Struthio camelus: one gene and its partners. The protein of the gene in region 3 purifies or fractionates together with the protein of the main gene of each other region. This does not show direct contact. Links are inferred from orthologs where the notes say so. Each region holds a gene or a part of one and is shown on either strand. Other genes may lie near its edges. The genes, in order: PPP2R2D, PPP2R2A and PTPDC1.

Region 1 (10,178 bases), on a different chromosome or scaffold from region 3:
AAGTCTGAACTATCCTTCATTCGAAGATACAGAGGATAGAAACAGTCAGATAGGAAATGGAAGACAAACTCACTGAACTAGGTTACCAAGAAAAGAGGCAACAGTTGTACCTGGGGAAACTGGAACGCTTAGCTTTTAAAGAGCTCGGCTGCGGAGGCACACACCGAAGCTTTGCCGAATGAAGACAAACAGCGGAACGCTTCAGCGCCACAACGAAAAAGACGCAGGAAAAGAACAGGCCACGCTGGTGGCGAAGCAGTGCTAAAGCAAGCATAGAATAAAATGAAGTTAACAAGCCAGCTATCGCAATGAGCGCACACAGAAGTTACAAGCCAAAACATGAAGGCTATAGCACCGATCAAAAGTTCCTGCCTGCCTGCCAGGACAGCGGCAATGCTGACTGCACTACACCAAAGCGTATCCGAGAGTAGAAAATGCAAGGGTAAGGAGAATCATAATTTTCCCAATCTACATGGAGGTAAGGGCCATATCAGGAGATAATCCTCAAAACTAATCCCAGGTGCTACCAACTACTGTTTCATGAAACAGCTAGTTAGCCCGCAACACAAGATGCGATCCCTGGCTCAGTCCCCAGTAACATGCAAGACTTCACTTCAAATCTTACAGTTGAAAAGTGACATGTAATATAGCAACTCTAATACTGTTCAGTCTCCCTACAAGACCCACAAAGACTTAAAATCCATTAAAATTTATGATCAACTTTATAAAGGCAGACTAAAAAAACAAGCTTGTTAGAAGTAGTCTGTGAGGCAACCAAGAGTTAAACCTCTCTTAGGTTGGAAGACGGCTACTTAATTCAACGCACAATGTTCACAGCCAAAGCATACCACCTCTTAGAAAGGCTTGGAAAAAGGCAGGAGAAAGCCAGCATAGCTGAACAGTGTGCTGACAAGGGAGATGTTTGGATAGAAGAAGGTATCCTTTAAAAAGCTCAAGTAATGACCAAATGAGCATGGATCAAACTTCAGGAGACTAAACGCAAAATGCAATAAGGCAGGCCAAAAAGAAAAAATAGCGAGGAAACAGAAGGAATCCAATTATAAATTATAATAATACAATTCTGTTTCTGTCTAGCTAAAGTTTTTCCCCTGTAACGCCAGAAAGCAATTACTGGATCACAGCACGAAAAACACAATAGAGCAGACATTTTCTTCAGTCAGGAGGTGATTCAGCTATCAAAGTGGGGTGGGGTTTTTCTGCGCTATTTTAGGAAAAAAACACTGCTTTTAATTATCTAAAGCTAAGGCTTCCAAGGTTCATTCATCATGACTGGCACCTGCAGCAAAGGTATCTGCAGTTCTCTTTCTTTTTTCCCCTATTCTTTCCTTTTCAAGAACAGCACAAAAGGTGTGAAGTTCATGTGCAGCCAATAATACTGGAAGGTAAGCAGGACAAGAAGTTGTGGCTAGCTAGGGCATGTTTTGCATTTGCAGCATCAAACAGTGAGCAAAGCATATGTCATCATCCCTTCCCTCCTACAAAAGCTACCCAAAATATAAAAAGGAAGAGTGCTGCAGCAGCCAAACTAAAACTGAGAAAAAAAGGTGGTGCTGCTTCTTCCTGAAAGAGCTCCCCTTGCCAGTGAAGCAAATCAGCTGGGGGATAGGCTGGCAGGAGCGGCTGCAACACAGCATGGGAACTTCCGCCCAAGCACGGGACGCACAGGCTGGCAGCAGCTGGGGAGGGCAACGGTGCTGGCTAGAGCACCCGTGTTTGGGGAAAGCAGGAAGCCAGGATAAAAGTTGAACTATAAGTTTTAGGACATCAAGGCTGGATGAGGAGAAAGGGGCTTTAGTGATGCTTGGATTAAAGGACTCTTTGGTAAAGCAAAATAGTCTAAATTATAATATTTGGGAGACATCAGGGTTTGTATAGCTCATGGTTTTGGGAAAGAGGTAAGAGAAGGCATTCCTGTACGCAGGCAGTGGTGGGAAAGATAAGGAGGGCGGACAATTCCTGTAATTAAAGAAAGTTCAATCTGAAGTTTAAGTACTACTAGCCTGAAGTTTGGAATACTTTCATGGGCCGTGTTGATAAACGCATTTTTTTAAAAAATGCAGGTAATAAGGCTAAATACAGGGCTAATAAAATAAAACTAACTCACTAGTTTACTAACTTCTTTCTTTGAAATTTGGAAAAGAGATAAAAAACTATGCAAAAAAATCTTTTTTTTCCACCTAAGAATAATCAGATGTTTTTATGTCAATTAGTACCTAATATGCATCTGTTAGTGAAGTGTGATATCTTATGACACCCAGCTGTCTTTCACTGTATGATAAATGCCATTTCTATGGCTTGCACTGCATTTTTTGAAAATACAAACATACTTTCAGCATGCTTTATTTTCAGAGCGATAGTTATGAAAGAGCAGTATCAAACCCCCAGTGGGGCTCAGGGCTTTGTTTAATCATAAACAGATAATGGGAAATGAGATGAGAAGAACAACTGCTGATGAGTTGGCAACAACATTTCACACCGCATATGTCAGGGGGCATCAAGCAACTGGCTAGGCAAGATACTATTTCAAGAAAACATTTGGAAACATCTCTGTCAGTAGCTTTTCTTGCTAAGTGTGGCAAGAGCAAAGCGTCACTTTCTCCTAAGTGTAACTCTTAAATATGTTACGCTAAACCATTAATCTAAAAATGGCTAATGCAAACACACAGTGCTTTAATTCTGAGAATTATATAAAAATACTACACCCTCCTCTCATCCTATCGCTTGTATAATAACCACTGCCACGAGGCTCCTGTGCATAGTCCAATACCAATACATAGATAGCTGAGCACTGGAAAACATTTTTCAGCAGTTTGATACAAGCGATGAATGCTAGAGTTTTGTAATTCTGGAAAGCATTCCCCAGCCCGTAATATGCAGCCCTCACCTTTTTACCAAAAAACATGACATATACATCTATTTTCAGGTGGAAGCAAGTGAGCAGAGTAACATTTAAGAACATCTCCCATAAATGTCAGAGAATTTTAAACAACTTCATAGACTGCAAACCAACCAGTGGATCGTGAGTGGCTGAATCTTTTTTGAATTTGAGTTCCAAGCTTTAGAAAGCTTACGAGAACTAACTAGTTCCTTGATTTTATGGGATATATTCTTTGAATATAATTAAAAAGAAAGGTATATCCTGCAGAGATATTTTTAACTTTTTTTTTAAATCTTCCTAAATTCCTACGAAGTCTTTTAAAAAAATTCCTGTTCATAAAACCCACACATTAGAATACGAACAAACGTATGCATCCATTTCAGGACGCTAACTAAATTATCAGCTATTTTTATTCCAATCTTCTGATTAGTAGGATATCCTCAAAACAAATTTACCTATGTCAACATTTAAATTAGCTCTCAAATTATGCATACTCATTAATTTACATGAGTTTATGGCATCTAGTTCTCTACAAAAATACATCAGCACACAAAACCTCCAACGCATAGACGTCCAAAAATACTAAGCTAATTAACACAACGTTATATCAGACACTGAGAATCACTGTGGTCAGAAGGGACCTCTGGAGATCATTTAGCCCATGCCCCTGCTTAAAGCAGGGTCACTTTCAAAGTTAGACCTGGCTGCTTAGGGCCTTGCCCAGTCAAGAATTTTTCCAAGGATGGGGATTTCACCACCTCTCTGGCTCCTGGTTCCAGTGTTAGATTGCCCTCCTGAGAAGAACTTTTTTCTTGCATCTAATCTGAATTTCCCTTCCCGCAGCTTGTATCAGTTGACTTTTGTCCTTTGACTCCGCACCACTGAGAAGCATCTGTCCTCTATCTTCTCTACAATCACTCATAAGGCAGTTGAGGACGTCCAAAGCATAGGCACAAGAGCTATCCAACCAACTTTTCTTTTTAAACCATCTTACCATTATAGCTCGCCATAACAACAATAAGACACATAAAATAGGCTATAAACTGTCCCAGTAAAAATACTGATTTTTCACTGATTTTTTGAATTAGCTTTTAAATTGCTCAACAATGCCTAGAAGCTCAGGTCACAGACCTGAATCATGACAAGTAGCTATCATCAAGATTTAAGCAGATTCAAGCCGACAGTGTGACATAAGGTTTTCACTCTCAGTTCAATAATGGAATGAAGCCAGTGTTAACTTCAAGCTGAAATGCCCTTGTGCTTTGAAATCTCTAGTCTGTGATTGAGCTGTATCTATTCAGGTCACAGCATACACAAGTTTTAACTTTTAGTTAAATATGTTTTTATTGGTAATACAAATAAAAGCATCAAGACTGAGTTCCTTTAAACAAAGTTAATACCATTTGGATTTACATTAATGATATACCACATCTCCTTATCTATAGAGTTTTCATACAATATTGTGCCTACCACAGTCTTCATCTTTTAATGCAAAAGTTTCAGGTATCCATAAAATTATAACACAGATATAACATTAATTTCACCTATAAACGTATTTGGATAATCATTATGGGCTGAATGTGCAAGGCAGTCAGAAAACAGAGTCAACTTTCAACAGGTAAGAAATAGTTTTCATAAGAACAGAACTTGTCCAAGAAGTTCTCTCCAGCCCAGAAACTTAATCACAAACAAAAAGCAACTAATAGCCACTTGCCATAAGAGATCACTTTCCTACCCCCACAAATAAACTCTGAGACCCTTAAGTTGAATGCAAAAATATCTTTTTGCAAATCAGTCTCTTTATCAACCACAAAATTAGTCCAGGCTTTGAAGTCACTTTCTGAGGGCCTTGCAGGTGGAAAACTTGTCCACACAGGAGTTAAGGAAAAATAACAAACTAATTTAGATTTCTTCATGCTATTTAGGCTTTAGGGGTTAAAAACTGCATTTTCACAGCTTTCAGTGTGTATACTAGTTTAGAAAAAACAGGTAACGTAAGAAGCCAAAACTAAATGGAGCACCAGTAATATTCATTATTTACAGGACAGAAGAACGCATCTTCAAAGAGAAGCCAGAAAGGGATTCTCACTAAAATCAGGAATTTTAGAGTTCTGCCACATCAAGTGCGCACAGTTATACTCTCTTTAGGAGAGGCCAGATGCGTTTGCTGACACCACCACAGCTGAAAGCATCACAAACCTGACTCCAGAAGGCCAGACGGGGACAGACCTCAGGGGCTGCTGCGCCAGCACATGGCTCAACCCGGCGTTCTCCCAAGCGGCCGGCCGCCTTCACTGCGCGGGCAGAGACACGCGCTCCCTGCGTCCCGTTTTGTTTTCTGGAGGCTCTTCCCAATCTGAGGAGCTGACCTCCACCATCCCAACGCCCTCGCTTCACCCTAACGAAGCGGATCATCCATAACCCAACGGCTTTAGAAGAACCTGCGACCCCTGGGCCAAAAACTACATGCCGCCATTCAGCCGTGACAGAAACCTACCCCTACATACGCCTTTATTTCCTAAGCTGCTTCCAACCTAAGCCCCCTTATCCTTTTCTTTCCTCCTGTTCAAGGAAGCTGATGCTGCTCCTCTCCGGTGCGGCCTTTCATAGCCCTTTTCATTAGGAGACCGGCGCTTTCCAGGTCCGTAGGCCCCTTCCCCAGCGCACCGGAGCGCGGCTTCAGCCCTCCTTCCTTCACCTCGCCCAGCCACGGATCTGCCATCTCACTGGCAGAGGAACCTAAAGAAATGATATGTATGCGTTTAAAACAGAAGTTCTCGTGTTCAACAACAACGTTACTTCCCAGCCCTGAGGACCTCGGCGCCGCCTGCAGCGCCTGCCCCTCCGCAGAAAGCCGCGATTCCTAACGGTAGTTTATAACCCCGAACCCCTCTGTGTGTTGGGGGGGGGTGCGTGGCGGGGGGGCGGCGGAGGTCACATTTCACGACGGGAGGATCCCGTTTCTGAGGGAGAGCGGCGATTCTGAGGCAACTCGTGATTTTTCCAGCCGTCGGTCGCAAGCGCCTTCTCAGGCATCGGGGCTTCCAACCGCCTCCCCCCCCCCCAAGCCGCCGCGCTGGCGACGAGCAGCAGGATCGCCCCAAGAGTTGCCGGCGGCCGCCGGAACCGGGGCAGCCCGGCAGCGCCGGGTGCTTTCCGTCACGGCCGCCGGGGACGGGGTCGGGGACGGAGCCGCGCCCGCCGCCGCCGCCGCCTCAGCCCCGCGCTCGCCCCCGCCCTGCGGGCAGCCGGGCGATGACGTCACCGGATCAGGCCGACCGGCAATGGGCGCCATTTTGAAACGCCGAGCCCTGCAGCGGCGGCAGCTCCGTGCGGCGGCGGCCCCGACCCGCTCCCGGCCGGCGCCTGCCCCCCGCGGCCCCCCGCCTCACCGGCACCGCGCGACATGGCAGGTGAGGAGGGCCGCGCCGCGCCGCCCGGCCCGCGCTGCTGCTGCCGCCGGTGCGGGCAGGGCAGGGCAGGGCAGGGCGGCAGGCCGCGCCGCGCGGACGCGGGCAGCGCGGCCCTGCGCCGGGGCGGCGGGGCTGAGGGGCGCGGCCTGCGCCGGGGCTGGGGCCGGGCCGCGGCTGGGGGCGGCGGGCTCCCTTCACCGAGCTCTTTCCCTTCCCCAGGGGTGGCAGGAGGCGGCGGCAACGATTTCCAGTGGTGCTTCTCCCAGGTGAAGGGGGCTATCGACGAGGACGTGGCGGAAGGTAAGGGCGGCGCCGCCGCGGGCCGAGCCGGGCTGGGCCGGGGGGCCGCGGAGCCGAGGCGGGGGGCGGCCCAGCGGCAGCCGCGCTGCCCTCCCCGCCCGAGGCTCGCGGGACGGGGCGCACCTGGCCGTGACTAAGCTGGTGCCCGCGCCCCGCTCAGGGCAGCATCCCCGAGCAGGCGGGGGGGCTTCCTCCCGGCCGGCAGTCCCTGGGGAGAAGGAGTAACGACGGGGACTAACTGCAAAGGGGGAGGGGGGGAGGAGGAAACCGACCGCACAAATGGAGTCTGTCAGGCTTGCCGAGTTTCGCTCTGAAGCAAGGAGAGAGTGCGTGGCTCCGTCGTGTGGGCTTAACTTAAAAAGTAGGGTTTAAAGGCTCTGGCAGCTGTGAATGGATTTTATTCCTAGTCGTTAGCCTGTGGAAGCTGCCAATAAGGTATTTAAGTAGGAAAAACAGGCACACCTTAACGTTTCTCTGGAACCTACGAAGTGCAACGTGCTTTGGCATGAGTAGAAAACAAGAAATGTTTTACTTGGAAGAAGTATTTTTGTAGTGTGTAGAATTGACACGTGAAGCTCTGCTGGAGTTTGATGAGAACGTTCTCCTTTTTTTCTAAATTTTCCGTGTTTAAACTGTTCAAGTTGGAAATACTTCACTCTTTTCTACACAATATGTGTGTGAAACAGCGTTCTGTGGTATTTATTTAGACTTTTACTATATTAACTGACATTACTTACAATAAAATAAAATACAATAAAAAGTTAAGTTACTTATAGTCTCTGTGTGTGGTCGTCTTGGATTGTAGATTTTTTTGCTGGATGCGGTAAATGTTTTCTCTTACTGTCTACTATAGAGAAATTATTCTGACAGTGTTTTCATTTCCCTGCCACTTGTTTTGACATTCCATTCAAAATAATAGCTATGGGAGGAATAGACTTGGAAACCACTTGAGGAACTAGTGTTCAGTTGAGGTGGTTGTTTTCTTCCCCCCACCCCCCTTTTTTTTCTAAATAGATTTTGAGACGTAATATTATTTTGAAGTTTCCAGATTGCTTATGTAATGAGTTAAGTGGCTTTTATGACTTTCCAAAATGGTCCTTCTGTCTTAATATCTCTCACCTATATTGCTTAAAAGTCGGTTCTCCATGTTAGAATAAATATACTTCTCTGAGCACCTTACTTCCCGGTTACTGCTGAGCAACATGAATTTGTGTAGAGTCAGAAAGCTTCTGCTTTTTGAAACACCAGTGTCTTAAACCCCGTCAGTTAGCAAAGTGTGTAACAGCACTGTTCGGAGAAAAGAAACTTGTGTTACTGAAGAGATGAGTCACAGAGACTGATGAGTTTCTTAGGTTAAAGAGGTGAAAGCTCTATGTTTTGAAAAGTTATGGGGAAAATAGTGCCTCTGGTGTTCAACGATTTTTCTGGGATTTACTCTTGAGTTCTTAGACTTCTTCTGGAGTGAGGGCTGCAGATTATGTGAGGTTATTACGTGTAATTCCATTTACTTCATAGGGCAACTAATGTATGTAATCAGTCAGTGTGTGGTTTTGCAGAATTGGTACTAGGGTTTTGTTTTCCTTCTGGAATATCAGAATCAGTTGTAGTCTTAGTGACTCGCTGTCTATATTCCATTTTTGTTCTTTTCTTCCCTCTATTAGTTTTTGCCTTGAAATAGGAATTAAATGTGGAAACCACACAAAGCTGGTATGTTCATAATTGCCAGAATTTGACTCTGCAATATGCAATAAGAACATGATTCCATTGCTAGATTTTTGCCTTGTTACTGAGATATTGACTAGAACCACTGTGAATTCTGTCTTTTTCTGTCAGCTTGCTATTTTTGTAATTTTATTTCTGTGATTTGGGAAAAAAAATAGCCCTATAAAGGAAGGAAATCTGAAAATGACAACATAAAGTAGCTGTTAAATGCATTAAATACAGACTTTTTGTTTAATGTTCGTATAGACGGTTTATCTAGTGGTTAAAATTACGAAGCCTGACATTTGGACTTAACTAAACTTAACTAAAAAGGTCTCTTCCTTCTGAACTGTTATTCTTGAATACATTTTATACTCAGCAATTGTTTTTCAGAGGTACTGCTTTGATGGAAATATTAGCATGGCTATGACAAATTGATGCCCTTAGATTTGCAACTGCCATCTGCATTCTGAAGATTTTTTCTAAGTAGGTCGTTAATATAGAAAATTACTTTGTCTCTTCTTTGTGTTTTCTGTGTATTGAACCAGTAATCTAGTTATTTAAACACAGCATTGAATAGATTTCAAAGAAGAACAGTGTTTGACATAGCCAGATTGGTCACCTAAAGAGATGAGTAAAATGTATCAGTTATTGAAATATGCAGTTTTTAAAGCAGAAAACTTTGGCTGGATTCAAGGAGCAGGACTAGGGGGGAAAAACAGTTATTGAATGAAATAACTGGTATTGAAAATGGTAACAAATTTCATTTGACCTTGCTTGTGCAGAGGGGTTGGACTAGATGATTTCCAGAGGTCCCTTCCAACCTCAACTGTTCTGTGATTCATTTTAAAAAAAAAAAAAAAAAAAGTAAACTTGTGTTGTAATTATTGTTTGTATAAAAGCATGTGAATACAAACACAATGCTCATAGCCTGTGGAACTTGGGATTGTTATTCTTGGATTACCTATTTTGGTAGAAAGTAGCATTCTAAGTACAGGCTTCAATTTTTTTTTTTTTTTAATGCTGTCTCAGACCTAGTTAGTTTTGTGATTTCGGTGTTTTATCCAATTTGGTCCACATGTTCAAAAAAGTTCTGGTTTTGTGGGTGGGGGAAGGTTGGCAAGCAAAATATCAAACGGTTACCGTTACTTAATGCACGAATATGCCCAAATCCTCTGGGCCAGATGTTCTGCATATAATCTGTAACTACTTCTGGACATAATTAACAACGTGTGTGTGTGCACGCGCACTTGCCCCTGTGTGGGGCTTCTTGGTTTTATAGCGTGCACTGTAAGTCTTCCTAATTATCTTGTGCTATTGACAAGTTGGAAATTCTTGTCAGAACATGAAGCTGTATACTGTGGAGATCTTAGATTTCCTACTGTTGATATTGTAGTTTCTTTGGGTTTTGGTTTTAAACAGCTCCCCCCCTCCACCTTCCCCCAAACGATCTTTATGGGTTTTTGGTTTGTGATGAACTTCTGTAAGTGCTGTTTTAATTCAGTACTGATTAAATATATCTTCCTGTCTCAGATGTGAACAGTTTTAAGAGTGTGATTACCCCACTAAATAAAACGGGTAAAGACTTCAGCTAATGAAGTTCCCCAGATGAAAGCAGTACTTGTTTCAAGTGCTATATTTGAATTTTTTTTGAAGCAGCTGAGTCTGAAGCCTGGTCCTGCGAATAATTGCGGGACATGGTGCTCTTCCTTTGCAGTAGAGAAGAGATGCTGTGAAATCCTGTTCATTAACTTAAGGATGCACCTTTGTAAGGTATTTCATAAGAAAAGAACTCTTTCTCTACCAAAAAGGTTGTAATTGACTTTAAGAGTAGTTGTGCTGTTGTTGGTTTCCTGATCATTAAA
Region 2 (10,732 bases), on a different chromosome or scaffold from region 3:
AGAGCTATGTCTGAATTATCCTGAGGTGGGAGACTCAAAGAGGTTCCAGGTTAGTCTGAACTATGTGCTTTATTAATCTCAGCTACTGAATTACAGTGAGGATTAAATGCAGGTCTTGTGACTCCCATCTTGTGCTATGGCTGCATTTTTAGGTTTGACAGGGCTATGTCAGCTTCCGGCAACAGTTCTCTTATCTTCTAGTCAGATCCATCCCCCCCATAGAACAAACTACACTTTATCAAAGCATAAGAAGAGATTTTAAGACTTTAAAAACACCGTTTTTAAACATATATCTCAAGTTATTTCTCATTTTGGCTTCAAAAAAATATTTAACTGCAAAATACTGGGATACCTCCTACCCTCCCAAACAAACTCCCCTGACTGAAAAATACTCGTTTTCCTCCCTCCAGACAGGTGCTTCCTGTCTACATCCAAGACCTTTTTTTCTTCTTTTCCAGAAGCCTTATTTTCCCTATATTCTTGCATGTATTTTTGTGCTCACTTTAAAGCAAAACTCCTGCCAAAATTCAGGTGTATGACTTCTATACAAACTGTGCTTAAATAATCCGTTAACCTAATGTTTTGCAAATTCTTTTCAATCATTGTAATTTAGATCTGCTCTAAACAGATAAACTTTGGAGCTGGGTTTAAACCTGTTCTGCAAACTATTACTTTAATGAATACATGAAAATCTTTACAAGCCTAATTAGTTTTTCTGTTTGCTTGCACCAGGCTAAAGTAAGGGTGGTGAAAAAGCCTCGGTTCCTGAAAGATGACATTGGATTTAAGCTCTGCTATTATAAGGGGAAGCCTCAATGAACTTTATGCTTTTGAGATGACATAAGCTACTTGTTTACCTCAATTAGTGAACTCTTTTTCCATAGGTTTGTTCAGTGATGAGTAGTTTAGGGTACTCAGTTACAGAGCCATTAGATGTTATTGCTAAATTATTTTGCTTGGGAAAGGGCTCTCTAGAAAATTGCTGGCCGTTGCACACTGAACTGAAAGTTATGTACCGTCCTTGTCTGGGTTTTCTTTTTTTTTTTTCTTTTACACCAGCGGTAATATTTATACTAAACTGCTCAGTGACTATTCAGGAGAAGATTAAATTTTAGCCCTCTTCTGAGCACTTACTCAATAGTTTAGATACTCAGGACTACTAGAAACTTAAATTTCAGTTTGCCCTTTCCAAATATAAGTCAGTGACTTCAGTGGCCCCTGCTCACTAGGGCACTTTCAAAACATGCTGTTGTAGTACTCAGGTTTAGGAGGGTGAGGCAGGACTGGAAATGCTTAAACCTTTGTTTATACCTCAGTTATGGCTGAATTTCTCTGGTCCCTGGAAAGGGAGATTTTTGGGACGATACAAGTGGCATCTGCTCAAAGTGAACTCGGGTCAAAGGAAGCTTGACTGACAGAAAAAGCAAATGAAAGCTCCATATGTCCGCAGAAGACTTCACGGTATGCTAGTTGGCTCACTGCAAATAACATAAAGCTCCTACCTGCTCAAGGGAGGTCGGCACTGGCGTAACTCACAGAGGTTAGATGGGTTGGGACTTGCACCAAATGCAGTTCACCCTGTGAGTCTGCCTGTCTAAAATTCATTACAGGTTCAGGGTCTGTCTGACCTTTTGTTAAGCATGAGCTTCCATCTGCCAGTATTAAGACATGATTCAGCACTGTTTTGATAATGGTTCTTAATTAAGTGGCTGCATACATAGAGATAATTATGTGAAATTAAGAACAGGGAAACACAGACCAAATACTAGCAAACCTTTTCTAAGTGTAAAGCCTGCTAGGCTGTGAAATGTTCTTTCCCGAAAAGCAATGGAAATCTCTGAGACACTTCAAGCTAGAGAGTATGAAGTGCAGAAGAGTATGCTGTAGGGAATTACATTGCACTGATGTTAACCTTCATGTGGCCTAAGACAGCTCAGCTATTACTAATTTCTAGTGATAATTTTGGTGATAATTACTCCCTTTATTTCTAAACTGAATTGTTGTAATTCATTATAATCTTGTCTAACAGGTCAAATTACTAGGAAACTAAGGCAGATACAAAATGAGTTGCTGATAGAGTTCTTTCTTGGGCCTTAATCGTTTGATCAGTGATTCAACACGAATATATTTTTATTGGCTACCAGTTGCATTTCACATTTTGCTTTAGGTTGTTCTGACTTCTACAGCTCCTGTTTTGCGCTGCTGTGAATGGATCACTCACTAGCCTTTTAACAAATCCATCGGAAATGCTTTTCTGTTATTTTAATCTCCTGGAGATTCTCCTTAGTCTAAGTTGAAGCGTCTATAGAGCAAGAATTAGTGATAAAAACATAATTGGGATAGATAAATGTTTAGTAAAGCTTTGTGCTTTGGTGGTTGTATATAAATTTAACATACTACAGTTACTATCTCCCCAGAGCACCTGAACAAATGCTTAAAATATGGTTAAATCAAAGGGAGATAAGTATGTGCTTACAAACTTTTTAAAATCAGAGCTGCAAAATACACTCTTGCTAATTTGCACTAACCATTAGTACTAGTGTGAATACTTGCATTGTCTGAATTAACAAGCAAGTGAACACCCAGGCAAAGATCGGGACTCCCAAGATGTTTCACTAATTACCATGGCTGTGATTTAATGATAAGTATTTATTATACTTCTATAGCTCAGCTTGTTCAAAACAAAAACCTGAAATGTTGGAATTATGAGCCTTCATTCTGGCTCCATGGTATTAAATCTTTTTTAAGAGGGATTTGGTTCTAATTATAAGGTATATACTAAAGCTTCATTAATTTGCATTACAGAACTAATTGTAGGCTTTTTTTGGCAACAGAAGTTCTTGAAACAATGTTAATTCTACTAGGAGGGCCAAATTCTGGAGTAATAGCACTGAAGGCAGTGGATTAATTTCCCTGTCTGCAAATTTTCCTGCTAAAAGGTTGTGGGACGCTTCTGTTTAGGGCTGAGAAGGATGCTCTGAAGGTATCCTGAAACAAGAAGACTACCAGCTTTTATTTAGAATTTGAGATTGACTGAATTTGGCCAAAAACTTGTAGGATTGAGTGCGTATGGTCCTGAGCTTCGGGAAATGTGCACCTGGCTGATAAGGGAAGGCCATTAACAATGTAGTGATCAAAAAACAGCCTACCTTGATTATGAATATTTTCAAACTTTCAGTGTATTTGCTTTTAGATTTCTAGATTGCTCTCAAAATGGACTAAGCAAAATACTTGGTTTCAGATATTCCCCAATTTAGAGGAGTTGCCATTTTTTTAGACTGTCCCATTATGTTTTGAGTGCTTTTCAAACAATACTGTATCATCATTTCCAAGAACTATTTTATTCACACATGCAGTCCCTTGAGGAACATAGAGATAAAGCTGCATTTGTCCAAAGTGGCCTTTAATCTGGGGCAGTTCTGGGTTTCCGGTATTTACCCTCCGACAGGGGGAGGCTGACTGTATCGGTGTGTTCATACAGAGGCGTTCAGTTCCCACAGCGCTGTGTTTTGCGCTGTACTCGACCAGGAATTGAATGGTCTTGCATTTTAAGAAAAGCCTCTTAGGTGTTTTGAGCTAGAAATGCAAAATCACTGTACGTGATGACTTAGGAAGACCTGTCTGAAGGCACGTTGCGAGTTTGTGGCTGTGCTGGGTTTGCAGTATGAGCTCATGAATCTCAAAGTGAAACCTGGATCAGCAAGCCCTACCCCGCCTGAGAAGAAAGAAAACGTTTGCGCAAACGCCTCTGAAGGGAAACTGATGACTTCCACAAGATCCTAAATAGATTGCACTGAATCAATTCGCTGAGTCCTGCATGTTAACTGCCGCTGAGACTTCAACCGGGACCCGTTGAGCTAAAAAGGCGCCTTCTTCCCTTCGGAGCCAGCAGGAGTTGTGCCAAGCGGGCTCGGCTGGAAGCCTTCCTTTGTAGATCTCGGTGGCTGTCAGCGTGAAAGGTGGATGGAGGCTAAAAATGGCTCCGAAGCACGGCTGGGTGCGCGCAGGGAATAGCAATGAGAGCGACCAAGATGCGCCGGGGTTCTCGAGCGAAACCGGAGACCGAGCGGGCGGACAAAATGGAAAGCGTCCAAGAGGGCGGGAAAGGCGCCTCGAAGAGGTGGTGAGGCCGCGGCGGAGGCCCCGCTGGGTGAGGAAATGTCACGAGAAGGAAGCAAGGGAGTGGATGCGGGGGGGGGGGGGAAGCCGAGCGCTACGAGGGAGATCCAGTGGAAGAGTAAAACGCAGGGCGGCCTGGAAAGCACCCCGGCGAGCAGGTAGGCGACGGCAACCGGGGCCTGCCGGGGCAGCGCCTCCCCCCCGCCGCCGCCGCCGCTGGAGGCCGCGCCGCGCCGCCCTGCCCTGCCCTACGGGGGGCGGCGAGGGACCCGCCGCCCCGCCCCCTCCGGAGCGCCGCCCTCTCTGCCGGGTGACGTCACCCCCAGCTCGGCCGGCGCCATTTTGAAAGTGGAGCCGTTGGGGGGGGAGGGGGGGCCGGAGCGAGGCGCGGAGCGGGGGCAGCCCGAGGAAGCGGAGCCGGCCGCACCCCCCGCCGCCGCCATCCGCCGCCATCCGCCCCCCGCCGCCGCCCCCCGCCCGGCACCGGCGGCGCCGCCGCGTAGCGCCGAGACCGCCCGACCCGCCGCGGCCGCTATCACGAGCCCAACATGGCAGGTAAGGGGAGGCTGCCCCCGCGGGGCACCGGCCCCTGCCGCCGCCGCCGCCGCCGCCGGGCGGGGGGCGCAGGTGAGGCTGCGGCAGCGGCCGGGCTGCCGGCGGCGCCGCCTCCCGCCGCGGCTCGCCCGGTTCCTGGGCGGCTCGGGCTGCGCCTGGCGCCCTGCTCTGCCGCCCCCCGCCGCGGCCGCCGGCTGCCGGCCGGCTCGCTCGCTGCCCTCGCCCCGCGTTCCCAGTCCGCCTCGCCTGCGCGCTCCGGGTTTTGTTTTTTTTTTCCTTCCCCCCTCCACCCTTCTCCTGGGAAATCTGCCTTCCTCCCACCCATCCCTCCTTCCTTTTTCTCCCTTATTGCAGAAAAAAAAAAATTTGCATGGAAGAAGCAAGGTGGAGGGGCTGGGATGGGGGGAGTGGTGTATTTTGAAGTTCAGCGTGCAGCAGGCTTGCAGGCAGGGTGGGTCTTTTGCCATATATATATAAATATATATATATAATAGTTTTTCTGAATCTGTAAGTGCTCTGGTATGTTGCATTTCTTTCCCATGGAGTTAGTGAGGACTGGGCAGAGGCGCTGCTGTGCACGGAAGGGTGTTTCAGGGTGCAGACGTGCTCGTGTCGAGAGTACAATTGCAGCCTTCTGTAGGGCGCAGCTTTCAAATCATCTGCAAATGAGTGCAAAATGGGGCACAGGATGTACTTGGATAATACAAGTCTTCCTCTGTTTTCTTTCTCATTCCTTTCTGTGCTTGTTCCCCGTTTTGCATCCTGCTTTATTTTGCATCCTGGAGTGCTCTTGGTAGGGTAGAAGAGCGTATGCATGAGGTATCTCTTCCGTCTTACTTTTCGTTGTAATTTCCTCCCTTGAAAATGTATTCATCCCCCTCCTCTGCAAATGAGTTGCCTTTTTGGTGCTTTGCATTTGGAGGAGCAAGCATGGGGGCTCTGGCAGGTTGATGCTTTGCCTTGTCCCCCTACACCCATGCCTATGCTCCACCCTCTTTTTTTGTTTTAGTCAAAAAAAATGCAGATTTAAATCAAGTAAATCGTATAAAAAATGAAATTTTGATCTTTTGTAGAAAGAGCAGTGATTTCTCTTGTAAGCTGTCCCCTTTAAATGCTTCCATGGTGTCAGCTGCTAAATGACAAATGAAGAGAGTAGGGAGGGGAAGGAGAATAGGTTGCACAAGTTCAGGGGAATGAGAGAGAAATGTGTGGTATACCTTTCCAACGTATCTGCATAAAGCTTTTTGACATCTCTTGCATAGCTAGATGCTTGTACTTCCCTTCACCTTGTCAGGTTATATAGTTTGCTTGTCTATAATCCTTCAGAAAAACTAAGGCAAGCGAAAAATGCAAGCCACAGTCTGTATTCCAGTGCTTCTCTTGCTCTTCTGTGGCATTTGCTCTTCTGTGGAAAGATTATTTTGTGGCTTCTGATTTCCATGTCTTTTAACACTTTTTTCCCCCTTAGCTTAGCGTAGAAGAGGGAAGAAGTATCTTTTGTGTTCTTTGTTGCCCAAAAGTGATGATAAACTTCTGGATTAATGTGTAAATGCCATCTGTTGCTCAGCCTCTTTGCATTGTGTGTCGAGAAAAAGTTCCATTTTGACAGGCGGTTTCAAAGAGGAAAAAAAAAAAAGGCAAGTCCATTTCAGTCTCTTCCTGTATGTACTCAGCCCAGCAGTGATTTGCTCAGAATGCAATGCAAAAGAAATGGGTGGTGGTTTTTTTTGTGTGTTTTGGTGGCAGGGTTCAAATGAATCGCTGCCTTCCGCAGAGGCAGCAATGTTCCTGAAGTTTTCTCTTCGATCCGTTTTCTATGGTAGTAGAACTTGTTAACATGAGATTGCTCGTTTGCTTTGCTGCTCAATTTGCTGCTTTTTTCCCCTCCTCTTTTAAAGGCTGATAATTACTTTCAGTTCTTCTGTGAAGAGACTTTAAATTGTGGAAATTGTGGTAACTTTTTTCTTTAGCCTTTAGTACATAGGTCCAGTTAAATATTTTTGTTAAAGAAGAAAATGAATAACACAATTGGCTTATATTAAAAGATTAGAATGTTCTGAAAAATGTAGAGCTGTTCTGGCAGTTACTGTTTAAGTTGTTTGTGTTTCTCTCTATAGAGTTCTCCTCTCTAAAGCAGGAAGAAGCTTCGTGTGAAATAGGATGTTGATGCACTTGTGTTTTTAATGCAAAGTTTAAGTTAGCACCAGCAGTGTAGCATAGTTTTGCAAGCTTTCGGTGCATGAGGCTTTTATCGTTCCTACTGCTTATGCTGTTTTTGACAAATGTTGCATTGGCCATTGGCAAGTGACTAATGACAAAAACAATATCTGTAAAGGAAAAAGGTGGGGAGGGGCAATTTGTAATTGTGCCGACAGCACAGCTGAGGAAGTAGGTGTGTACAGTGTTGCCTGAACATTTCAATTGGTAACTAGCAGTGTGTTCTCTGTGTCGCTGCAGGGGTCTCATTTTTTTTTTTTTTGATTGTCTTTTAGGAGCTGGAGGAGGAAATGACATTCAGTGGTGTTTTTCTCAGGTGAAAGGCGCTGTAGATGATGATGTAGCAGAAGGTAAGAACAATTTTTATTACTGCTAATTTTTTTTCTGACTTCCTTATCACTACTCCTTAGGCAGGAAGATTTGAATGCGATCTTGCTAAAATATCTCAGTTCTATTGTGTGTAATTTTAGCAAAGTAGACAGACAGTTAATGTACATTCAGATGCCTTAAGCCAGGATCAAAATCTGATGGTTTGTGAGTATTGTTTTGCACACTTTTAGCAGGGCTGAATTCCAGCTTCCTGAGTATTTTGCTGGAAATGTTTGTTTCCAGAATTATTGATCGAATTTTCCTGTCACTCAGCTTTTGGTTTGTGTTTTTTTCCCAATCTGCAAAATGGGGAATGTGATACTCGCATTCCACAGGGAGGTGTTGTGAGAATTAATTAATGTTTGTACTCTTTGAAGATCTAAGTGTTAGATAAAGATCAAGTAATTTTCCCAATCTTTCTAGCTTCCATTAACCAGGAGAGGATGAAATCTGAATATTTCTGCATGCTTACTCTTTTTAAAAAAAAATAAGGTTCTGTGTCGGAGGAGATGCTGGAAACTGCCGAAAAAGTTTTGTAAGCTAGGGATCCTAATGCTGGCAGTGACAAATGTCATCTTATACTAAGATGGCTGCCTCTGATTGTGACTGCAAAAATTCTACTTGTTTTTATTTATTTATTTTTTTACTTGGCTCAAGCATCATTAGAGGAGTTGTACTTTCCCTCTATATTGCTCTGATGGCTGTGCTAGAGAAAAAAATTTTCTCTGATCTTTCTTTGGGAAAGTCCCACTGACTTCTAAATTTCTTTGGCCGTAAGGACCTGTTTGCACAACATAGCCTCTAAGATCATGAGTTAAAGTTTTTCTTTTGCAAGCAATGGGCTTTGTCACCTGCAATTCTGGAGAGGGTGAGGATTATAGCTATCCTGAATGCTTGTACAGACAAGCGAGATGTATGTTGTATTTGGAAAAGCAGTAGCTAGAGTTCCCATTATTTTCACATTTGACATGTGGTTCAGTTAACTTCTAAAGGCCGAAAACTCAATATAAATGTAAGCGTCTTGTTTTTGTTTATGAGCTTCAGCATGTGGAAAATGATGCACTTTCAAAGACTGTCATTCACAAATTGAAAGATGGATTTTTTTGGAAGCAAGCAAGCTGTAACTTTTTTTTAAGGATGGATTAATCTTAAATTGTTCAAGAAGTATATTTTAAAGCTTGAACTCAAAACTACTATTAAATGTAGTATATATTTTTCCCTGCCAGATTTTAAATTGTCATTTTTATTTTAATTGTATATCAAACTAAGTCCTTAAGTACAAAAATTGAGGAAATTGTGGCCAGTGCTTGCAAATAATTCTTCATTGAAATAGACATGCGACATGTGACATGCGCATAATAGTGATGGGTGTTTTTACATATATGTTTGTGATATAGGGATCTGAAAATCCAGTTGGGAAATGTCTGTCCTGAACACCATTAGCTGTTCTGAAGTATTGTAGATTTGAAAGAAGACTTGCTAGCCTTATGCTTTCTGACACAGTTTAGCATCTGCACTATATATTGGTGGAGTCATAGTGGGTGGAGTTCAGGGAAGCCTTCACTGTGAGTGAATTAAGTAGTTTCAGTTTCAGCAAGCCAGTCGCAGGATGGCTTACAAAAAAGGAAGAATGTCCATTTTTCATCATATGGGAGACGTAGACTTCTGACTTTGCCACCCAAGGAACAAAGAAAAGTCTGATTTCATAATCAGCTGTGATTAACTTAGGATGAGTGCTAAGGCACAACCCCAAAAGCATGACATTTTGCAATTTAAATACCTAGAACCTGGTGTGAGGTCCCTAAAAGGGTGTTATGCTTGGTTGTAATGAATTTGTTGAGCTGGAATTTTCTCCTTTTCCTGTGTGTTTGGCTCCCACAACGCATACTAGAAACTGTTGAGAACCAGCTGTCTAAGTAAAAATGCATCTTTTAGCTTCCATGAGATCCTTAGAATTCCTGTTATGCTTTATAATGTCTCCCTGTAATACTGTTGAAATGGTTGATAAATGTATCAAGCTGAGACTTTTATACTTTTCCTTTTATTAGCTATATTTCTGGTTTTAAGGTTCTCTTTATGGAAATGAAGCCTTTTGTGGGGTTTTGTTTACTTTTTACAAAATTGGAATAGCAGTTATGCATGCTTCTGGTCCTCCTCCTTCAAAATGCCCAAGGACAAGTTCACAGTGGCTCTAAGTCTAGTCTGACCTTTTTTCTCCCTGCCTTTCTGTCTTCTTTCTTGTGGCAGGCACCATGGTGAAAACAAAAGAAAATCCTGCTGTCTGAAACTTACGTGATTCTCTTAACTGCTGTGGTCTGCAAGCTAACAAGTGTGGACTCTAATCCGATGTCTGTGACTACTGAGGATAATGCCAATTTATGTAGGGTAGTACCTAGGGTGTGGATTGGGGGGTTTTAAGTGGTTGGAGAGCTCAAATTAAAAAACTGTGGAATACTGAAACTTGACTAAAAACAAGGTGAAGAAAACAAGGCTGAAAGAGAAGGGAGAGGCATGTTTCATTTTCTGTCTTCCTATTAGTAATACAATGTTGCAATATTTATATTGGAAATTCTTCTTTGCATAAAAACAGTCTCAGTTAAACTCAAGCTATCTTCAGATTTACCACGCTGATTAAGCTTTACGGGTAAACTTTTTCTTCCTCTAAATCTAGCTTATTGGTTTATTTTGTACCTCTGCATAAACTAAACTAGTATATGTCAGCCAAGAAAATGGCATAATTTAATTGCATTAATCAATATAATGTAAAACCAGTAATCTCTCTGCAATGTTGCCTATAATACAGGCCAATGGAGGATAATTCTTTTAATAAAAATAATAGCAACAACAATTTTTAGTGTGGTAAGAATGCTAGTGCCCAGCTGTCAGTAGATTTGAGGTCAGATTTGACCTTGTCACCTTCACGTAATACGTACAACCTACAATTCTTAAGATATTTAGGCTAGAATGGCTGTCTACTAGAAAGATGATATTTGGTGGTTTAGATGGGTGAAGCATAATTTTTTTTCTCCTGGTTTTTCTAAGCACTGTGTGGTAGATGGATGTGATAAAATGTTTCTTTTATTGCTAATGAGGATGGAAGAGAAAGAGCTGTTCCTAAAGCTTGAGAAGATGGCAATGACTTTACATTCAGGGCCTGCCTGTGTCATTCTACTATAGCAAGCTTTGCTAAGGAATATGGATGTGTGAGGAATAAAGAATTGGCCTCTCTGTAGTATAGACAGTTTCTCCTTGGTTGTAAGCTGTGGCCTGGCCCTATCAGGTCACAAAGTTAATCACAGAAATCAAGTTATAAACTGAGTTTTGAGTGTCGGCTTAATATGGTTGGGCTCCTTTATTTTAACTGATGGCAAAAGGTTGTGCTTTTTGTCATGTAGCAGTCCATTGTGTAAGGGCAATGAGGGGTGTGGCATGTACTACCTCTGTTTCTGAAGTGGCTGATTCTTTGCATGCT
Region 3 (10,460 bases):
AAATGGCTTTAAAAAGCAAGAAAATAGTAAAATAAACCCCATATTTTATGACAGGTTAAAGCAGTCATCATCATTTGCCTATATTGTATGAATATATTTGAGGTTTAAAATAGCTTTTCTTATACATTGGTATTTTAAAATTGACTGCTTTTCAAAGTTTTTTCATGTTAATACATGAAATTCATCTTTTCAAATGTGCGATCTGCTCTCGTAATTCTAAGTTACCCAAACGCACAAAGATCTAGAGAAAGGGGACCTCACTATTAGTAAGTAGCTCCTGAGAAATGCAGTGAGCAGCTTTACAGGGGATTACTGTTCCTGCTGGCAGCTGAACTGCCACAGTTGGGATCATTCCAGTCTAGAACACAAGCTCTACTGTCTGTTTTGAAAACATGTTCTACAGTAAAAGATAATAGTTACATATATTAAATAACCGTATTAATTGCTAAAGTCGAGTAGGACCAACATCTTGCTATCTCATCACTTTTTGGCTATATAATTCTTTTTCTGGCAGCTAAAATATTTGATTTTATTCCTTGCTCTCATTTCATTCTGGAGCAAAGATCCTGCCCAGTGACTGGAAGCCAGGAAGACTTTCCAGATCGTGAGATACTGAAAAGGCATCTTCTTTTCTGCAAGGCAGACTGACGCCTAAGCCAGTTCTGGGCTGTGGAGCAGTTTCTAACGTGGTCCTTCCTTCTACCAGACAGTAGAGGAAAGGCACTACCAGCACCTAATCCTATCCCACTGCTGGTCTGCTCCGTCCATACTGCAGCCTGACCACGTGAATCAGTTGCGCAGCCCTCCTGTATGCTCTTTCTGCGTAAATCTGCACCACAGTTAGCTGCAGAGCCTGCTTCACTGTGGACCACCGATATCCCGGTTGGCCTACTTGCTGCTGCATGGCTGAGTAGTAACTCAGCCTTTACCTGTGCAAAGAGAAGTGCTTTTATTCCAGAGGAAATCATAACATGGACAAGAGGCTACTTTGCTCCTGGAAAGAAAGTGGATGCACAAACTGAATCTCACCTGTGGTAGCACAGCATGACTATACTAGTTTCTCTGCAAGAAAGCCACCTCTCTGCATGTATGAAAGAGTGAGTAGGAGCTGACAACTACTCATCTGTTACCCAATGCAACATGTGAATCAGTGGTGCAACTAATGGGGGACAAAACCAGTATATCCCTTCTGTTAGGAACTGGTTTGCTCAAGCAAAAAAAAAGCCCTAAAAATACATACAGAGGGAAAATGAAACAAATACAAAAACACACCGGGGGGGGGGAAATAAACCTCTTGAAATATCCCCTTAGTGCTTGATACCACGATTTCAAGAGACCCTTTTTTCCTGGCACAACGTGATACTGCTGTTCACTTCAATCAGCCAATAACACAGATATTATTTTTACCGTGTGTTAGTTACACTACCTGTGTTGCTTATGCAGGCTTAATGACATTGCTTCCTGTGATAAAATACAAAGACGGAACATCACCTAAAAGACTGTTCCCTTTTTTTAAATTGTGAAACAAAGATTAAAAGAGCAGCTTCTTTGCTGTCATGGCAATAGAAATACATGTCACACAGATAACAGTGGATCTGATTAAGGTGATAAGACTGCTGCAAGGTATGTGACTCAATTCCCTCAGAGAGCTAATAAGGAACGTGACCTAGAATAACATTCCAGGCTTCTTGCTTTTTTTCTGTAGCATCTGAGAGTATCAAATGTTAACGTGATGAACAAAACGCTGAGGAGGATCTTTTAAAAACTAAAATATATGGTACACTGAAGAAATAGGAGAGAGTTGTTTCTTTTAATCAAGCACTAGTTTTAATTTTAATACTGTTTTGATCTGTATAGAAATGTAAATACCCCTCTCCAGTAACATCAACACTGAAAGTACTTCCTGTCTCAAATTATAGTATTTTGCTTCTGTCTAAGGGAGTGCAACATTATTCTATAAAGTGGTTGGTCACAATCTCTTTTTTTTCCCAGAAATAAATACAAGGGAACATTGCTCACGTTGTGGAATTCAAAATACCTGTTAGCCAGTAAATTTACAGAACTGAAAGGCACACAGACAAAATATTTAAGTCAGCTGGAACTGTACTAGTTGTATAGAAAAGGAAGTATGGATTTGCTATATCTTCTGAATAAGTTTGAGGAGAGCCTAATTCATTAAAAAGCAAATAAACACATTGTTTGCCTCTGCCATTTGGAACAATCTTGTTTGTATTTTATAATACTACAGACATTATCGTCTGCATTAATTTGCATCTTTTCCCTTTTCAGTTAAGAGATCTTGTCAACCTGAATTCTGGTTAATAAAACCAAAAAAGAATAAAATAAAAGGGAAAATAGTTTTGGATGAGAGAAGTACTCTGACATTTTGTCTCTTTTTTTTATATCACTTTCATGTGGGCAGTACAAATAAATAGGAAAACTAAACAGGCATACAGAAACATCTGTTAAATAAATAACTGACAAAAGATGTTTGCTTTGATTTACTCACTTTCAATTATCCTTATTTTATCAGTAAGTTGTAACAACACCAGGCAATGCTGTTGCAGCAGGCAACATTTTTGAATGAAGACTTTCTAGAATACAGTATTCATTCTGACAGTGTGTCCTGTAATGTACATCTGGGAGTGTTAAGTTATCTAAATCAAATTTATGTTCTTTATTCAGTATTCCAAGAAGTGCATCATACTTCATAACTCTCAAACTTTGTTAAAAAAATGTTGGTAGTTTGTAAAGTCAAATACTGCTATGTTAGAAATGCCAGATTTATAGCTTGAGTTGAAGCTTTAATTATGGCACGTTGTAGGGAAAGATCCTGGACAGAGACTTTTCAGGATATATATATACCCACATATGTATATGTGGGTATATATATATATATATATATATATGAGAGAGAGAGTGAGTGTGCTGCTGCCTATTAAGAGATTGACTTTAAAAGTGCAGAGTTGGGTGGCCAAATAGCCGAGTAGAAAACATTCCAGATACTCTTTAATCTTCATTAAGATTCATCATAATTAGTATTCTTAAGAATATACATATTTACATTAGAAATGCATTTCTTGGCATCACTGAGGTTTCAAAAGGCCACTTGCTTTCACAAACAATAACACTAGCTGCTATTCTCATTGTTTTGAGGCCACTCTATACCGATACAGCAGCGTTAAAGGGTCATTTATATGTATGTTATTCTGTCCCTAGCATAAAGCATCTTGGAAAGGACAGAGCTAAGTGTCTTTGATGTAAATGGGAATCAAGTCCACTAGCACTCTTGGAAGAATAATCTCAATTTAATCAAGTATATGGTCAGATAATGTAATATCTGAATAAATTAAATTCTATTTGAATCCATTTAAAATTATTTTTAAAAACATTACACAGAATTATAGATAAAAAAGTGGATATTGAACAACAAGCAGTTATCTCTTTTTAACGCAGCTTAGGATTGTTATACCACCTCATCCCCATAAACATTTTTTAAGCAGATCTCCTGTCCTTTAAAGCACTATGCTGCTGAATCCTAATAATGTTTTCATAGAATTTGGGATCTGAGGTTTTTCTATGTAGAAAAGTTTTACTAGTTATGCTATAGTGTAGACATTTTAGTTTGGTATAAGGATGCTTTTTTTTTTTTTTTCTTTTTTTAATAATTGCAACTATTTTTCTGTTAATGTAAGGTAAACCAAATACTGGGTAAGAATTTCCACACAAGATCCATATAAATGGTTTATTTAAACATCACTGTGATTGATTAATGTGTTCACCCTTACTGCTCTGCTTTAGCTTTCTGTTTGTCAGGTATAAGCTCTTAAGGGCAGGACTTACCTCGTATTAGAAATCACATTAAAACATGAGAAGAACTGTTTTCTGCTTAGAAAAGGTCTTGTGTTCAGATTTCTTATTACAGGTGGATCTTCACATATGTGCTTTCAAACTTGTCAACATACTAAAAACAAAGAGTGGAAGAAAGAGAATAGAGAAGGCATATTACTTGGGGGTGGTCTACTTGGAAATTATAAACTAAAATTATAAATGGTCTGATCTAGAAACAGTGCTGCCATAATGATATCGTCAGTGCCATCAAAACTGCCCTTTGCAGGATTTCAGTTCAAGATTTCCAGTCATATGTTTACCTTGAAAAATTTGAGAAAAATCAAGGTGATGTTATCTTAAATATTTTAAGTTGAGTGACTCCCGTCCATACAAAGCACAAATTATAAAGGCTATGCTCAGCTGTACTCTAGAGCTAGAAATACACAATGTGCTAAACTTCTATTGTGCTAGGACAGACTGCCAACCTGTTTTAAGATGACTGTACACCAAAAAATAACCCCCAAAACCAGTCCCTGTCTGACTGCCCAAAGAGCTTTGGACAGTTCTACCATCAGTGACAGGCACTTAGCTTTATTTTGCATTTTTGAACTTCTGCTGTAGATTTACAGTAAACATATTACTGTTTCAACAGGTACTGCAATGGCTGCAGGAGTTTTGCTGCAAAATGAACTACCGTATTCTTCATTGCTAGAGAGCAGTGTGTATCTTGCAAATATGAATTCAGGTAATCGTTTTGTCTAATATGCTATTCATAAAAAGTGCTTAGAGAAATTCTGGAAAAAATTACATTTCCATAGATAATTAAAAATAGGTATACTACTGCCAAATTAAAAGCACAAAATGTCTATGACATAAAAATGAAAACTCCATTACTTAATCATCACCACAATGTGTTAACACGCTGATCTTTTCTGTAGCTTTCATATTGTCAGGTATAACCTCTTAATCGAAAGAACTATGTCATTTTCATGTTCAGAAACTGCCTAGCTCTCCGAAGGTACAAACGAACGTTCGACAACAACAACAAAATCAAAGAAAACATTTAAACTCTTATGGGATATAATTATGACTTACTATTTTGAGTGAGTACGTGCAAATCCTACTAGATTCAATGGAAAAATAAAGGTGTGCAGCATTTTATCTTGTTCATTTCTGTCTCCACTACCATTCGGAGAAAACTCTGGAAAGAGAAAGAAATAAATCTAAGAAAGCAATGTAATTAGTTAAAAACCATTTTTCATATTCGCTGGATATAGGAAGCCCTTGAAACAGCCTTTTTCATCTTCTTCCTTCCTCTTCCACCACCCAACTCGTAACATAAAAACCCATTTAAATATTCCCTCAGCTCTTGATATCATCATTAGTGTTGAATTAGAATAGTCAGAATTTTGAGACAACAGCTAACAGAATCTCCTTTAACGTTTCCTTTTCTCATGTGACATCACTACTGGTATTTCAGGCCTAGGATCTACAGAAAGACCTTACTGTATCTTCTTAGTAGCAGGGATGCAGTATGCAAAATTCAGTCACGTGAATTCTGTTCAGTACCTGGAAGAAACAGTAGCTTTTTGCCTGATGGTTTTTTTTTTTTTTTAAATCAGAAAAGAGCTTTCTATTACAATGCAAATTCCTCTTAAGAGTTACTGACTGCTTTCACAGTACAAACATAAATGTCAAACGCAGACTCAGGATAGTATATATGCTTAAGAAAATGCAATGGGATTAATTTGCTTTTTGAGCAAAGTTAGATTTTTTCTTTTCCCTAGTCTCAGAATCTTTAACACACAGTCTAATGTACAGACAAGGGATGACAAAGTTTTTTTTAACATTGCTATAGTCTGTTCTCCATATAATTGCCAGCATGAGAATTCTGTGCTTTTGAGAACCTTGCAATCTTTCCGGCCAGCTCATTCTCCTTCTTAGCACGCTGGAAGCCAAGTGGGAGGAAAATTACCACCTAATATCTACCTTCAAAAGCTTAAAGCACTCAACTGATACATCTTCCCCTCCCCATAGTCTGCTTTATCTCAGTCTGTAGGGCTAACAGCTTTGGTTAATAAAAAAAAGCTGGGCCCTGAAAAAAGGAAGCCTTTTGTTTTGAATAACAAATTGTGTTTTGTTAGAAGATATGAATGGTCCAGAGTGAACAGTCTACAATTCATCATGTACTGAACCATTTTAGTAGGAACACACTAATCCCAATCATTACAGAGCTAATGATGCATTTTGGAGCAACTAAGTGGAGGGAGAGAGGTGGTTGTGGAATGTTAAACCAAAAGGTGGGGGAGTATAATGTTCCTACTTACGGATTTCTCAGAAAGCAGTGTCCAACTACATTTTGATTGTTCTTTTGAATATAGTATTTTGTGTCTTAGCAAATTCTGAATGTGTGTTATTTACATACTCACATTGTTTACAGAAAATGTTGTGGTTGTTCCCAGACCATTTTCAAAATTATCTACTTGAAATGCAACTATTTGCACCAGCAGCGGAACAGTTTGTCCCAAACAGAATCAGTTCATATAGCATTTAGCTGCCACAGGGATAGCTGGCATCAGTGGTTCATTGTGTGTTTCTATGGAGACAGCTCAGCCTATCCTGAAGAGCTGCCAGATCATACAGAACGATGCACAGCTCTGTGCAACTTCAGCCCTGAGCAACTTGGATTTTGTATCAGAGCGTCTTTGGCAGCCCTTCTGAACTGTAGCTGGTGTTGGGCAGTCATGCAGGGCTCACCTCGGAGGTGGTCAGCAGCGAGTATTTTTAGCAGCTTTTTCCAGGGTCGGAGGCATTCTTCCTCTGATCCCCTTCTTCGCGTTATCCAGAGGCGCCGGAGCTCAGTTGTAGAGGTACTCTCATCATCAACTCACCGGGTTATGGTGGCCGTATCATCTCTGAGCCCCGAAGAGCTGAATGCAACTTTTCCTGAAAAAAAAAGTAAAGTACTTTTCATTAAGACTGTAGGCAGTTCTGTTCTCCTGTGTGTGTTAAATTCATATACCTTTGTTCTGTCAACTATATTTTATATATATGCAGAAAATACAGATTTTAAAATATTTTTTGCTCTATTTTATATTAAATTGTGTTCACTGATTTTTTTATTCAGGGTTTAATATATGCTCTTCACTCTAACAGCTCAGCTATAGAGAACAGATAAAATAAAAGCTAGTGGTGTATGTGTGACGGTGTGCTAAGTATTTTTGTTTTCAGACAAACGATGATCATGACATTTGTTCTGTTGCAAAGGATATCACATACCTGTAAGTCCACCAGAAGATAGCAAAGTTACTGTGAGAAGAAACAACTTCTGCAGTAATTCAAACATTTTTTCCCTAAGAGTCCTTACTTTAAGTCTGTATTGAAAAATGAATCTTAAATATGTATTCCATATCTATTTATGCCATTTTTAATTTCATCAGTTTAGGATTTAACTGATAACTTCTAAGGTGGAGGTGAATTTGTAAGCTTTCCTACCAAATCTGTTTTTGCTTGTGTTCTAGGAAGTTCGAGGCGTCCAACAGCAAAATACACTAAAGTAGGCGAGCGCCTTCGCCACGTCATTCCTGGTCATATGCAGTGTTCAATGGCATGCGGCGGGCGCGCTTGCAAGTATGAAAATCCAGCTCGATGGAGTGACCAAGAGCAAGCCATTAAAGGGCTCTACTCTTCTTGGTAATATGCAGCATTTACTTTCACTACATGTAACTGCATCCATTATATTTATTAAAAGAGAAAATTCAATTAAAATAAGCTTCTACTTACTGCTTTTAAACTCAAATATTGCTAAGAAGTATAAAACAGAACGATAGGTTGATTCAGAATTACCACTTAGCAGTAAACTATAATGGCCATTTGTACGTAAGCCTGTAAAGTCAATGAACGACTTCTACTTACTTCAGTGAGTTTGGTTCCGATCCAAAAGAATACCTATCTATGATGAATTAAAAAAAATACATTTTGGGTTATAGATAATTCTTCCTAAGAATTAAAATACAAATGAATTAAAATTTGTTCATAACAGAACTCAAAAGTGAAAACATTATTGAAGATGAAATAATGTAAGGTATTTATTCAACAGAAGCACACTCATAATTAGTAATGCTCACATGAAATGCATCTTTAAATTATTACTGATTTTGGTAACAGTGGCTACTATTCAGAAGCATACGAATCTTAAAGGGTCAAACATAGGTCAGAGTCCAGGTTTCTGAGGCGTTCTCTAATGTGTTAATCAGCCTGGATTTGAAAGTTTCCAGTAATGGTCTTTTGATATGTACTAGCTGTATCCGCCGAACGGGATTTATCACTAACACTATATATGATAGTAGAATTTTTGGAAAATAAATTTTCTACTTAATCAGCAAGGTGTTTCTGTCTGTCTTGAAAATGAAATGGTGTTCTTATTTTGGTAAACTCATACCCAAGAAATTATTATAATGACATTATTGTCTACCTTTTTAATTTCTCAGGATAACAGATAACGTATTGGCTATGGCTCGACCCTCAACAGAATTAATTGAAAAGTACAACATTATCGAACAATTTGAAAGGTAAAAAATGTAGTCATTATTTACTGTAGTTATTACTCATGTAATTCCTGATCCATTTTCTCTTTCGACGTAGATTTGGATTGTTGGTAAAGATCCTTTCATTTTAACAATACACAGGTAAAGATTTATTCTCCTCTAAGAATAAATGTGTGTTTCAGAAAATAAAGGATAACGAGATTTTGGCTGCATATAATACTTTGACTCATCTGTTCCTTGCTTAAGATGTGGCATAAAAACCATAATTAACCTTCAGCGTCCTGGGGAGCATGCAAGCTGTGGGAATCCACTGGAACAAGAAAGTGGCTTCACCTACCTTCCTGAAGCTTTCATGGAGGCTGGAAGTAAGTTCACTCCCGCTGCTGTTCCTCATTAACTATTGATTTTGGCACTTGGAGGTATTTTCACTTGAATTCTTGTGTGCTAAAAGAAGCTGTACAAGAAATGTTGCACAAAAAAGGATATAAAGATGAAACTTGGCAAATATAATCGAGAGTGAATAACACATTAGCCAAGATCGTGTATCAGTAGAGTGAGAAGGAGGGTTAATATTCAGGTATTTGGAATAAAGAAAGGATGACAGCGGGTTAATTTTTTTTTCTTCTTAGTTCCCAAATATATAAAATATTAACTGTACTTCAGATTCTGGTACAACGCATATTTTCTTATTAGACTATAAAATGGTCGTTCCTTTGATTTGAGAACATTTGTATTGAAAATATTTTTGTATTTTCATATTGCAGTGAGATGAGAAGAATTGCCTCTGTCTAAGAAACAGCTTTTAACTGAAAAAGTGCTTTTATTGCTTAAAAAAAAATAAAAATTATGCTCTAGCTAGATATAGCTCAGTAATTTTAGTATGAATCACTCTTTTTTTTTTTTTTACACCATTTACATTCCAGCTGAACTGTAGTTTGACAAATCTTTACTATTTTTATGTATTTATCAAATTTTCATAGCAAGAGTACTTTGAAACGTGAAACTAATCTCTTTCAAACAGTATGTAGTCAGATTATTCTAAGATGCTTTATGCTGTTTTAGTATTATCATTAATTATTGGCCATCTCTGCTCTCCATATAATAGTAAAAATTTCACATTTGGTACAACTGAAAATAATTCTCTCTCTCTCTTTATTTTAGTCTATTTTTATAATTTTGGATGGAAGGATTACGGAGTGGCATCTCTCACAACTATACTTGATATGGTAAAAGTAATGGCTTTTGCCTTACAGGAAGGAAGGGTAGCTGTTCACTGTCATGCAGGACTTGGTCGGACAGGTATGTATCCTCTACTCCAAAAGTCAACAGCTTTCAATCAAACAGTATTTTTAAAGATGCAAAAAAGTCTCTGGTTGTATATTATTATTCATTTTTTTAAATTCTGGATCACTGGAAGATGTACATCTATAGGGTGGTTAAAAAAGCTAAACAAATGTCTATGCGAAAATAATCCATCACAGGCAGGAAGAGATTGGTTTTAGTAGACCAAACCCAACAACCTATAAAGTTGGAAAATCTTTGAATCTATGTAATAATTCCCTGTTGTATTCAAATGGGACAGCTTCCTTTTGATGGGAAAAACTCACTTAGTACACTTTCATTTTTGAATATACTTATTACACGTTTCCCCTTACAAACCTACCACTGATTGTTAGATCAAGTAGATTTTTGTGAAGCAGCTGAAATTTCATTTACTTCTGGCTCTTTCAAGACCTATCTGGTTGCCCGAGTCCTTCCTGTAGAAGCCAGCATTGCTTCTGATTTCGTGTTGGTGTTCAAAAATGCTGCAACTGCTAGAGATGCTGTGGTAAGAAATTAGCTCTTGTTAAAAGTGTAGTGAGAACGGCTTTACTGTCTTGCAGACGAACAAATGCAACTATACTTACATAACAACAGCATCACATAACAAAGGGTGTAAAACCTGTTATCTTTACCTGTATTCATTTTTGTCCTGTAGTAGTTCTTTACTGAATATTCACTGTAATCTGATAGTTCTTCAGCTAATAGCTGTCTTATATTTTCCAGGTGTTCTAATAGCCTGCTACTTAGTTTTCGCAACAA

Evidence for each region.
Region 1: the proteins of PTPDC1 (region 3) and PPP2R2D purify together in Homo sapiens (affinity purification with mass spectrometry; 5 studies listed by BioGRID and IntAct, counting the BioPlex papers as one, with this or other methods). This does not show direct contact. The link is inferred for Struthio camelus from reciprocal best matches to the Homo sapiens genes PTPDC1 and PPP2R2D.
Region 2: the proteins of PTPDC1 (region 3) and PPP2R2A purify together in Homo sapiens (affinity purification with mass spectrometry; 4 studies listed by BioGRID and IntAct, counting the BioPlex papers as one, with this or other methods). This does not show direct contact. The link is inferred for Struthio camelus from reciprocal best matches to the Homo sapiens genes PTPDC1 and PPP2R2A.

The regions. Positions count from the first base shown.
Region 1 is NC_090948.1:1,115,911-1,126,088, reverse strand, and holds the start of PPP2R2D (serine/threonine-protein phosphatase 2A 55 kDa regulatory subunit B delta isoform), read left to right. Parts: upstream 1-6,159; 5' UTR 6,160-6,305; coding exon 6,306-6,312; intron 6,313-6,531; coding exon 6,532-6,612; intron 6,613-10,178. UniProt on the Homo sapiens protein: Substrate-recognition subunit of protein phosphatase 2A (PP2A) that plays a key role in cell cycle by controlling mitosis entry and exit. Involved in chromosome clustering during late mitosis by mediating dephosphorylation of MKI67.
Region 2 is NC_090968.1:4,340,352-4,351,083, reverse strand, and holds the start of PPP2R2A (serine/threonine-protein phosphatase 2A 55 kDa regulatory subunit B alpha isoform), read left to right. Parts: upstream 1-6,441; 5' UTR 6,442-6,456; coding exon 6,457-6,493; intron 6,494-7,166; coding exon 7,167-7,241; intron 7,242-9,507; exon of another isoform or gene 9,508-9,606; coding exon of another isoform or gene 9,607-9,645; intron 9,646-10,732. UniProt on the Homo sapiens protein: Substrate-recognition subunit of protein phosphatase 2A (PP2A) that plays a key role in cell cycle by controlling mitosis entry and exit. Involved in chromosome clustering during late mitosis by mediating dephosphorylation of MKI67.
Region 3 is NC_090955.1:18,604,804-18,615,263, forward strand, and holds the start of PTPDC1 (protein tyrosine phosphatase domain-containing protein 1), read left to right. Parts: upstream 1-6,335; 5' UTR 6,336-6,575; coding exon 6,576-6,789; intron 6,790-7,352; coding exon 7,353-7,524; intron 7,525-8,321; coding exon 8,322-8,402; intron 8,403-8,624; coding exon 8,625-8,743; exon of another isoform or gene 8,744-8,832; intron 8,833-9,539; coding exon 9,540-9,677; intron 9,678-10,041; exon of another isoform or gene 10,042-10,416; intron 10,417-10,424; coding exon 10,425-10,460. UniProt on the Homo sapiens protein: May play roles in cilia formation and/or maintenance.